Macaca fascicularis: one gene and its partners. The protein of the gene in region 1 purifies or fractionates together with the protein of each later gene. This does not show direct contact. Links are inferred from orthologs where the notes say so. Each region holds a gene or a part of one and is shown in the gene's direction. Other genes may lie near its edges.

What was found. Proteins that work in one complex are often made in the same cells at the same time.
Region 2: the proteins of RAF1 (region 1) and BAG2 purify together in Homo sapiens (co-immunoprecipitation; 3 studies listed by BioGRID and IntAct, with this or other methods). This does not show direct contact. The link is inferred for Macaca fascicularis from reciprocal best matches to the Homo sapiens genes RAF1 and BAG2.
Region 3: the proteins of RAF1 (region 1) and TIMM50 purify together in Homo sapiens (affinity purification with mass spectrometry; 4 studies listed by BioGRID and IntAct, with this or other methods). This does not show direct contact. The link is inferred for Macaca fascicularis from reciprocal best matches to the Homo sapiens genes RAF1 and TIMM50.

What each region holds. Positions count from the first base shown.
Region 1 is NC_088376.1:150,866,322-150,869,785, reverse strand, and holds the end of RAF1 (RAF proto-oncogene serine/threonine-protein kinase), read left to right. Parts: intron 1-752; coding exon 753-871; intron 872-1,300; coding exon 1,301-1,432; intron 1,433-1,572; coding exon 1,573-1,707; intron 1,708-1,897; coding exon 1,898-2,041; 3' UTR 2,042-2,932; downstream 2,933-3,464. UniProt on the Homo sapiens protein: Serine/threonine-protein kinase that acts as a regulatory link between the membrane-associated Ras GTPases and the MAPK/ERK cascade, and this critical regulatory link functions as a switch determining cell fate decisions including proliferation, differentiation, apoptosis, survival and oncogenic transformation.
Region 2 is NC_088378.1:114,538,957-114,542,593, reverse strand, and holds part of BAG2 (BAG family molecular chaperone regulator 2), read left to right. Parts: intron 1-3,176; coding exon 3,177-3,286; intron 3,287-3,637. UniProt on the Homo sapiens protein: Co-chaperone for HSP70 and HSC70 chaperone proteins. Acts as a nucleotide-exchange factor (NEF) promoting the release of ADP from the HSP70 and HSC70 proteins thereby triggering client/substrate protein release.
Region 3 is NC_088393.1:46,569,251-46,572,887, forward strand, and holds the end of TIMM50 (mitochondrial import inner membrane translocase subunit TIM50), read left to right. Parts: intron 1-1,193; coding exon 1,194-1,350; intron 1,351-1,671; coding exon 1,672-1,778; intron 1,779-2,855; coding exon 2,856-2,957; 3' UTR 2,958-3,228; downstream 3,229-3,637. UniProt on the Homo sapiens protein: Essential component of the TIM23 complex, a complex that mediates the translocation of transit peptide-containing proteins across the mitochondrial inner membrane. Has some phosphatase activity in vitro; however such activity may not be relevant in vivo.

The sequences.
Region 1 (3,464 bases):
GAACACCTTTCAATGGTGGGCTTTTTAGCAGCCAAACATTATACCATGAAAGCAGACATCACAGATTTAAGGTGTGAATTCCTGGGCACCAACAGATCACAAGTTACTTTGTATGTGTTTTTTTTTTCTGTTTTTAAATTTTTTTTCCCCTCACAAGTTAGACTTAAACTGTATGACTTCTTTACCCAGAAGCGAGCTGACTTCGGTTCTCATTTTGAAGTCACCAAGTGGTACCAATTCTAGTGAGGAATTTCTTATGACAACATTGAACACTCAGTAAGGGATGTGCTATTTTGTTAACCACTCAAGTTTCAGATGGTGATTTGAGGGTGGAATACAGGCAGAAACGACTGTAAGCTGTCAGCAGGCCATGCTTGGCCCTCTGGGGAGCACTGGAGTGTGGCCTCTGCTCATCGTGTTAGGGTTTCAAGCACCTGTATTATGTGGAAAGGTCACAAGGCCAGGGACCCAGCACCTAGACGTGCAAATGGGGAGAAGCAGCAGAGAAGAAACGCTGGCTTGCTTTTGGCTTGGGCCAAATAATCTGGCACATTGACCAATCCCTGCCTGTCTTCTGGAAGAAGGGGCATTTCAAAAGCACTTTAAAGAACTTCAGAAACCTTAGGAAATTCAGTGCAGAGGCTGTGACAGAGGGAAGGTGGAGAGATTACCATGTTATAAAGAACTTTGGGATGTTTTTCAAAATTAACTTGACCATTCTTTTGAAACCAGAGTCCTTAACAAGCATTGAGATATATTTCTCCATGAAGGCCTAACAGTGAAAATTGGAGATTTTGGTTTGGCAACAGTAAAGTCACGCTGGAGTGGTTCTCAGCAGGTTGAACAACCTACTGGCTCTGTCCTGTGGATGGTGAGAATCTGGGCTCCCACCAGCAGTCTCTGGTACAGGGCAAAGGGAATGCCCTGGGGATTTATGTGCAAACTTTTAAAGCGTTTCTGTACATTTCCCCGAAATCCACATGACCCCTAGTGACAGCCAGCCTCAGGGCAATTGTAGATTTTCTTGAGGAAGCTGTTGATCAGAACCACTGTGAAGCTTAGTGTGGAGAGGAGATAATAAGCTGGGTGATAGAAGTGCTGGGTGTTGGTCCTTTAAAGACAAGGATTCCTGAGCTGTTTTACCCAGTGCCTGAATTGGAGTCCTTTAGGGGAAAAACTATGTGGGGACTGAAGAATGGACTCATTCATAACTAATGAAAGGGACAGCCTGGGTCCTAGATGTCTGTAAGGTCTGTCATATGGTGATAAATGCACTTTTGTCATATGGTGATAAATGTAGGCCCCAGAGGTGATCCGAATGCAGGATAACAACCCATTCAGTTTCCAGTCAGATGTCTACTCCTATGGCATCGTATTGTATGAGCTGATGACGGGGGAACTTCCTTACTCTCACATCAACAACCGAGATCAGGTGAGTCTGTGCTGGTGCTAAAGGTCCTAACGCGTGGGAGCCCTTGGGCCTCTCCCAGCCTAGGCAGCTAGAGGGTTAGGACTTGATATTTTCTGTAGTTCATTTACCCCCCATTCGCTCAGCTGTTTTCTTTCCCTTAGATCATCTTCATGGTGGGCCGAGGGTATGCCTCCCCAGATCTTAGTAAGCTATATAAGAACTGCCCCAAAGCAATGAAGAGGCTGGTAGCTGACTGTGTGAAGAAAGTAAAGGAAGAGAGGCCTCTTTTTCCCCAGGTAAGGCTCAGGGCTGCTAGAATGGTGATTAAAGCATGGATTGGTTCTTAAAGATGGCAATGTAAGGTGGGAGTATTTTGTTTTGTTTTATAGGGAGGGGACCCAGATCCTCTACAAGATGGTTGGGGGCAGGGTACAGCCTGTGTCTTTGAGACACAGCTAATGAGAGCATTCTGGGGCTTTGTTTCAGATCCTGTCTTCCATTGAGCTGCTCCAACACTCTCTACCGAAGATCAACCGGAGCGCTTCCGAGCCATCCTTGCATCGGGCAGCCCACACTGAGGATATCAATGCTTGCACGCTGACCACATCCCCGAGGCTGCCTGTCTTCTAGTTGACTTTGCACCTGCCCTCAGGCTGCCAGGGGAGGAAGAGAAGCCAGCAGGCACCACTTTTCTGCTCCCTTTCTCCAGAGGCAGAACACATGTTTTCAGAGAAGCTGCTGCTAAGGACCTTCTAGACTGCTCACAGGGCCTTAACTTCATGTTGCCTTCTTTTCTATTCCTTTGGGCCCTGGGAGAAGGAAGCCATTTGCAGTGCTGGTGCGTCCTGCTCCCTCCCCGCATCCCCCATGCTCAAGGCCCAGCCTTCTCTAGATGCGCAAGTGGATGTTGATGGTAGTACAAAAAGCAGGGGCCCAGCCGTTGGCTACATGAGTATTTTGAGGAAGTAAGGTAGCAGGCAGTCCAGCCCTGATGTGGAGACACATGGGATTTTGGAAATCGGCTTCTGGAGGAATGCATGTCACAGGTGAGACTTTCTTCAGAGAGTGGTGCAGCGCCAGACGTTTTGCACATAAGGCACCAAACAGCCCAGGACTGCCGAGACTCTGGCCGCCCGAAGGAGCCTGCTTTGGTACTATGGAACTTTTCTTAGGGGACACATCCTCCTTTCACAGCTTCTAAGGTGTCCAGTGCATTGGGATGGTTTTCCAGGCAAGGCACTCAGCCAGTCCCCATCTCGGCCCTCAGGGAGCAGTCTTCCATCATGCTGAATTTTGTCTTCCAGGAGCTGCCCCTATGGGGCGGGGCCGCAGGGCCAGCCTTGTTTCTCTAACAGCCTTGTTTCTCTAGTCACATCATGTGTATACAAGGAAGCCAGGAATACAGGTTTTCTTGATGATTTGGGTTTTAATTTTGTTTTTATTGCACCTGACAAAATACAGTTATCTGATGGTCCCTCAATTTTATGTTATTTTAATAAAATAAATTAAATTTAGGTGTAATGGCTGTTACCTCCTTTTAAAGTAATTCTGAGCTCACAATTTGAACGTCCCATTTGTTCACCCTCTTCAGGAGCAGAATTCAAGAACAGGAAATGTGCCCAGAGCCTAGGCTGGGAATGAATTTGTAATTTAACCTTTGTACTCTTTGTAACCCTCTACTGAAGAAGAGTTAAGTATAAAAATTAAGCAGAAAGTATTCTAAACTCAGCTAATAGGTTAAGTAATGCGTTCTATAAAATATTTGGTAGCTACAGCTTAAAAAAAAAAAAACACAGATAAATTCCAGCTTGGAATAAGCCAGTGCTAGTTCACAAGGTTGTGCTCACCCTTCAATTAAAATGACTACAAGACTTGCCATCAGCTCTCTTCAGGACCACTGCTGGGTCAGAATCAGAAACCTTGGGTGCCATGACATTTTTACAAAATTTCAAATCAAAGCCAGGCGTTGCAGATAATAGATGGCTTGAGTACGAACCACACATTATGTAAGTGCACGTATATTTTGAGTTCTCAATACAATTACCCTGATGGG
Region 2 (3,637 bases), on another chromosome or scaffold:
TTAGCAGTTCCATCTAATTATTTGGTGTCATTTAATGATAAAATATTTTTTCATATGAATGATAGGCTTATTATTTTTTTCTAGAATGTCTTTTTTTATCTATTTTGTTAAGAACATGAACTTATTGCTGTAACTCGTAAATGAAACCTTCCTTTTCAGAATAGTGTTGTTCTCTCTTATCATCTTACAATTGAATACCAGCCGAAGAAGTGTTGAAAAATTAATCTCTTCTTTCAGCATCTTCTCATTTACCAATCAAATGATTCACCTGTGTCATTTGTCTAAATATTGGAGTCATGGTTTGTGCTTTTAGCATAAATATTTAGTGCCAACTCAGTCTCTTTCCTATGTTCTGGGCCCTAGTTTATCTTTCTGAGAGATTGCTAATGTAAAATGTTTAAGTAAATAGTGAATGGTCCTGGAATAGGGCCTGATACTTGCATTACTGTTACTTTGTAGAATATTGTATTTTGATTGTGTTCTCTAGCCAAATTTGTCACATGAGATTCTTCCCAGTTCTTTGCTTTTAGTGGCTCTTATAAACACAGACTTTGACATATATTTAATATCTTGAAGAATAAAGATATCCTGTGATGTTACAGCCTGTCAGTACTATTTTGGGGTATAACAGGTGGGTAACCGAAGGGGAAAAGGCACGTGTGTGCTTGGGGTAGGGGGAAGATCCTTTTATGGAATTGAACATGCTAAAACATTGGTGAAGTTGTTCTTTCTGTGCACACTTAAGACAGCAGTTAGGATTAGATCTCTAATCCTAATGAACTTCTAAGACCATCCAAATACTGGGAATAGGTCTGTCACTATTTCATTTTGCAAAAGTTGGCAACTTACTGTAATTCATAATAATAAGGTACCCTGGAAGTATACAACATGTTAAATATACAATATGTATATTTTTATTTTGCTCTCATGATTCCCCAGCTTAGTTTTTTAGTGACTGGGCACAATTATGTGTATGTATAGTGTGAGTGCATGTGTGTGCAGTTGAGTGAAGTGGGGAAAGTAGCGCTTCTATAGTTTGATGAGGGTTTTACACAAAAAAGCCACAGAGACTTTCCCTTAAATTTGGGAAAAGACAAAGATACCCCCATCATTGCCACTGTTTAATACAGTACTGAAGGACCTTTTCTTAAAAAAAAAAAAGTAATAGAAAAGTAATAGGATTGGGAAGGAGGAAATAAAAACTATGGATGATATGGATATGATCATTTACCTAGAAGAACCAACAGAATCAACAGACTGAACACTAAAATGAATACATGTAAATCAAGGTCGCCAGTGACAAGATAAACCTACAAAGACAACACTTCTCAAACCAGTAAAAATCAACTAGAAAATACAAATTCACAAGAGCAACAATATCTACAAAGACTACTATGAAGAATACATGAGAACTCTATAGAAGATCTGAATAAATGAAGAGACATATATCATGCCCTTAAACAGAATGACGTTATAAAGATGTCGAATTTCTCTCATTTTTTGAGAAACACAATAAACGTACCCTAGAATTTATATGGAGAAGTAAAAGTCCATAAATAGCTAAGTTATCTTTAAAGAAGATTGAGGGGCATGTTCTATCAAATATTAAAGTATAGTACAAGGCTAGTGCTATAAACAAACAAAACAAAACTGGGCACTAGTATAAGAACAGTTAAATACACTAATGCATGGGATAGAGATTTTAGAGAGAAACTTAATACGCATTCGCTAGGGGAAAGATGGATTGTTTGGTAAATAATGTTGGGGAAAATGGCTATTTGAAAAAAAACAACATTCTTAACTAACTACATACAAGGGTTGATTCTAGGTGGATTAAAGACATAAGGAAGGTAGAACTATAAAGTTAATAAGAGAAAATATAGGAAAATATGACCAAGGGGTAGGGGGAAGACCTTAGGTCAAAACTTCAAAAGCATAAGCTATAAGGCAAAAAAAAAAAAAAAAAAAAGATGAATTGGATCACATCAAAATAAGAGTCTCTCTTTAGTGCCAGACATCCCAGACGTGGTTCATATAAGAGAGGATGAGAGATGGCTGCAATGTCTGTAACCAACAAGAATTTCTTGAGTATACAAATCAGCAAGGGGACAGTAACTCCTGTTTAAAAATAGAAAAACAAAATAGGAAAAGTCTATGAATAGGCTAACAAGGATACAAAGAGATGTCTGAAATTATTAGGAAAACGCAGGTTAACCTGACATACTTCTACTACACTGGCAGCAAATAGAAAGTTGGCAAATGCGGAGTGTTGGTAGGGATATGGGGACTCCTGTGCTTTGCTGTGGAGAATGGACAGGTACAGGTATTCTGCAGAATAATCATAGTACTAAGTCAAAAGCGGAGTACACATACCCTTTATCTCAGCAATTCTGTCCTGGTATATGTCCTAAGGAAATCCTCACCAAGATCCAAAGGGGAGATGTATTCATAGAAGTGTTATTTGTAGTAATAAGAAGTTGGTAGACAACCTGAGTGTCCATCTCTGGGAGAGTGGAGAAGGAAAAGCAGGTAGGTATACACATGGAGTATTATAAAATATGTAGCACCAACTGATTAAAAGTACACATAGGGGGCTGGGTGTGATGGCTCACACCTGTAATTCCAGCACTTTGGGAGGCTGCGGTGGGCAGATCACTTGAGGCCAGCAGTTTGAGACCAGCCTGGCCAACATGGCGAAACCCCGTCTCTACTAAAATTACAAAAATTAGCTGGGCCCGGAGGCTGAGGCATGAGAATCAGTTGAACGCGGGAGGTAGAAGTTGCAGTGAGATCGTGCCACTGTGCTCCAGCCTGGGGGACAAAGCAAGACTGTCTCCAAAAAAAAAAAAAAAAGTACACATAGGATCCTGGATGCTAAGTGAAAAAATAAAAACAGAATGAGATATAAATTCAAAATATACAAATAATACAGATCTTGTAAAAACAAATACTATTAATTAGATAAACACTAAATAGAATTGCCTCATGAGCTGGAAGGAAAATAGGAGAAAGGCAAGTGGATAAAAAATAGAAAAATGAAAGAATTTTAAAGCAGAAATGAAGAAGTTTTGAAAAGTTTGGTGATCTTTAAACTTGATTTGGGTTGAATGAGAGATAAAATTAATAGGAAGAACATCCTGCATACAATAACCGTTTTGTTTTCCCAATTTCTATAGGGTTGAAGCTTTGAGAGAAGCAGCAACTGCTGTTGAGCAAGAGAAAGAAATCCTTCTGGAAATGATCCACAGTATCCAAAATAGCCAGGACATGAGGCAGATCAGTGACGGTGAGAGCCATCTCCACAGAAGGGGCTCGTCTTTTACACTCCTTTAAAGAGTTTATGATAAGTGTGGGTCAATTTTTGCTTGACTTTCGGTATGCGTATACTAGGCCACAGCATTTAATGTGAGCCACAGAGAGCAGCTGCAGCTGTCAGTTTATTATAGCAGCCACTTACTCAGAGATTTCTTCCAGCATGCTCTCTACCCCAAGCCATGGCTGGGAGAGATAGGAAAAAGCCTGCAAGCTCAGAAGAGCTGGCCCCAAGCAGTAAGGCCATGTGTTTTATCCCAGGTTCACACTCCTAACTTCAGTTCTTCACAAGTTACTGGACTGCAAGAGATTAAAAAACACAGAG
Region 3 (3,637 bases), on another chromosome or scaffold:
AATTCAGAAATACATGGACTGTGATCGAGGGTCTTGAAGGGTCTGTGTCTGGGAGCCTGTCTTTGTGGTTCCCTGGGTATGGCTGCAGATCTGTCTGCACCTGTTTACTTGAGTGAGAGGTTCTTAAACCTGCAACATACCACAGTCACCTGGGCAGGGGTTTAACATGAGAGTGGCCGCCTCCCTCTCCAGGGAACTTCCTAATGGCCTCTCTGTGTGCTAGGCCCTGGGTCTAGGAGTCTGTGTGATTAGCTCCCCAACATCCTGGGGGTTGTTTTGTTTTTTGTTTCTGAGACAGGGTTTTGCTGCGTCACCCAGACTGGAGTGCAATGGTGTGAACACGGCTCACTGCAGTCTCAACCTTCTGGGCTCAAGTGGTCTTCCCACCTCAGCCTCCCGAGTAGCTGGGCCTATAGGCGCACACCACCACGCTTGGCTAATTTTTGTGTGTGTGCATGTGTGTGTGTGAGATGGAGTCTCGCTCTGTTGCCCAGGCTGGAGTTCAGTGGCGTGATCTTGGCTCACTGCAACCTCTCCCTCCCAGGTTCAAGTGATTCTCCTTCCTCAGCCTCCCGAGCAGCTGGGACTACAGGTGCACACCACCACGCCTGGCTAATTTTTTGTATTTTCAGTAGAGACAGAGTTTCGCCATGTTGCCCAAGCTGATTTTGAACTCCTGAGCTCAGGCAGTCCGCCCACCTTGGGCTCCCAAAATTCTGGGATTATAGGCGTGAGCCACCACACCCCGCCATTTTTTGTATCTAGTAGATATGGGGTTTCACCATTTTGGCCAGGCTGGTCTTGAACTCCTGACCTCAGGTGATCCGTCCGTCTTGGCCTCCCAAAGTGCTGGGATTACAGGCATGAGCCACTGCGCCTGGCCCATGCCCACCTAATTTTTAAATTTTTTGTAGAGATGAGATCTTGCTGTGTGGCCCAGGCTGGTCTAGAACTCCTGGGCTAAGTGATCCTCCTGCCTTGGCCTCCCAACGTGCTGGGATTACAGGCGTGAGCCGCCATGCCTGGTCCTCTGTGGGGGTCGATGCCATCATCCAAAGCTGGTCTTTGAGAGGCCCTGGCATTGTGATCCCAGTATGTGTGATGCTGTGTATGTATGTTTTGTGTGTTTTGGGTCTTCTTGATGGGGGGAGAGTTGGGCACAGATGTTGACCTGATCTGTCACTCACTTCCAGGACATTTCATGTCTGAATCGGGATCCAGCTCGAGTAGTAGTTGTGGACTGCAAGAAGGAAGCCTTCCGCCTACAGCCCTATAACGGCGTCGCCCTGCGGCCCTGGGACGGAAACTCTGATGACCGGGTCTTATTGGACCTGTCTGCCTTCCTTAAGAGTAAGGCCGACCCCTGATCCCTTGGCCTCTGACCCTAGAGCCCCTGATTCTGAAGAGGAAGGATAAATGCATTATTCGTGGCTGGGCGACTGAGGTGCAGGAGGTACCTGAGCACCTTGGAGTCTTTAGGAGCTTCTTAGGATGTTCATGGAATGTTCAGGGGATACCTGGGGATGTTCAAGGGAACCCTTTCAGAGTGTTTAGAAGCATTCCAGGTAGCACTGACCACCCCCCTGCCCCAGTGTGGGACCTTCCCCTCGTGGGCCCTGCCTGCCTCTGGCCTTCAGAAGCCTGGCTGACCACCCCCTGTTGTGCCCACAGCCATTGCACTGAACGGTGTGGAGGATGTGCGAACTGTGCTGGAGCACTACGCCCTGGAGGATGATCCGCTGGCAGCTTTCAAGCAGCGGCAAAGCCGGCTAGAGCAGGTTGGTGCTCAGATGCCCAGAGTGGAGGATCGGCTCTGAGGCTCCTGAATGAGGAGCCCAGAGCAGTCCAACTCCACACTCCTGGCTTGGCTGTGTGACCGTGAGCAGATACCTCCTCTCCACCTCAGTCTCTGTAACCAGGGGGACATAACACAGCCTGTCCTGTAGGACTGCCAGAATGAGGGGATGCATTGATTCTGCAGCCTGCTCTGAGAACAGGAGACAGGCAAGGCTTTGAGACTGGACTGGAAGAGGGGTTGCCCTTGATGGTCTTGAGTAGGTCTGGGGTCACCTTGTGGAGGTGGACTGTGGGTTTTAGATCAGGTCTGGAAAGAGGATCCCTGGGCACATGGCCCAAGGCTGTGGGGAGAGTTGTGATGGTCTTGGTGGGACCCTGGTAATTTGGAAGTGGGACTGAGAGTACGGATTGCATCTGGGCAAGATTCCCAGGGATCTAGGCTGAAGTTCACCAGATTCTAGGTTAGGTTCCTAGAGTTGGGAGTCCCTGAGTGCCCAGAGAAGAAGTCCCTAGAGATTTGGGCCTGGGGACCCCCCAGGGAACTCCCCCTGCCCACCACATTGAGACAGGGGTCATGGGGTGCAGGGGGCCAGGGGCAGGATGATGCAGTCTGATGAGGAGGGCTCTGGGGTTCGGACTTGGGATCTCACCAGCATTCACCTTGGGATAACAGGGTCTGAGATAGGATCTCAGGTTCAGGGGAGGGGTCCCTGGGATCTGGGGAAGGGGATTATGAGAGTTTGGGGCCTGAGAAGCTACTGCAGTTCAGGCCTAAATATCTCGAGTGCCTAGTATTGGAGTCTGGCATCCCCCAAACATTGAAGCCTAGGCTCCTGCGGCTCAGAGCTGGCTCTTCCCAGTGTCTGGGCTGGGGAGCTGAGGTCTAGGGTCCCTTGTGTCTGGGCTGGGGGCCCCAGGGTTTGGGGAAAGGGGTCTGGACTTGGCAGAAGTCAGGAGGAAAGGTGGTCCCTGGGCTGAGGCCTGGGGAGCTGGGCGTCTGGGAGGAGGCTCTGTCCTCCCTGGGCTGACCCGCTCCTCCATCTGTCTCCCGACCCCAGGAGGAGCAGCAGCGCCTGGCTGAGCTCTCCAAGTCCAACAAGCAGAACCTCTTCCTCGGCTCCCTCACCAGCCGCTTGTGGCCTCGCTCCAGACAGCCCTGAACTCTGGGCCTCCTCAAACTCAGTGCCGGAGTCCAGGGCCCCAGTGCTTCCAGACCAAGACTTGGGCCACCACTGTCCAATAAAGTACATCCCAGATGCCACACCTGCTGTGTCCCGAGAGTCTCCAGATGGGGGCACCGGGATGAGGTCCGGGACTTTCGGGTCACCATCCCACAGTGGCTGATCGGCTGCCAAGCACAGAGTGGGGGCTTTGTTGGATCAGAGCATATTTTTCACCCTGGTCTGGGAATGTAAAAACCCTCGCTGTGTCTTCCTGTGTGTTGTGTGATCTGTAAAAAATACATCTCCCTCTGACCACAGATTCCGCATGTGTGGAGAAGGGAAGAGAGGATGGCACTTGGCTTTAAAGACAGGTAGCTGCCATGCTGCTGTGGAGAGACTGTGTTATGGGCCCAGTGGGGCTCTGGTGGACCAGAGATCACCCCTCTCAACAGGCCAACTGCTGCTTGGCTCCAGCCAGTGTGGCCCTGGAGTAGAGGGGGCCTGGGGTTGCTTGACATGCCAGTTGTTGAAGCAAGAACTTGGGATTTTTTTTTTTTTTTTTTTTTTTTTGCGACAGGGTCTCACTGTTGCCCAGGCTGGAGTGCAGTGATGTGATCTTAGCTCACTACAGCCTTGACCTCCCAGGCTCAAGTGACTCCAAGTGACCCTCCTGCCTC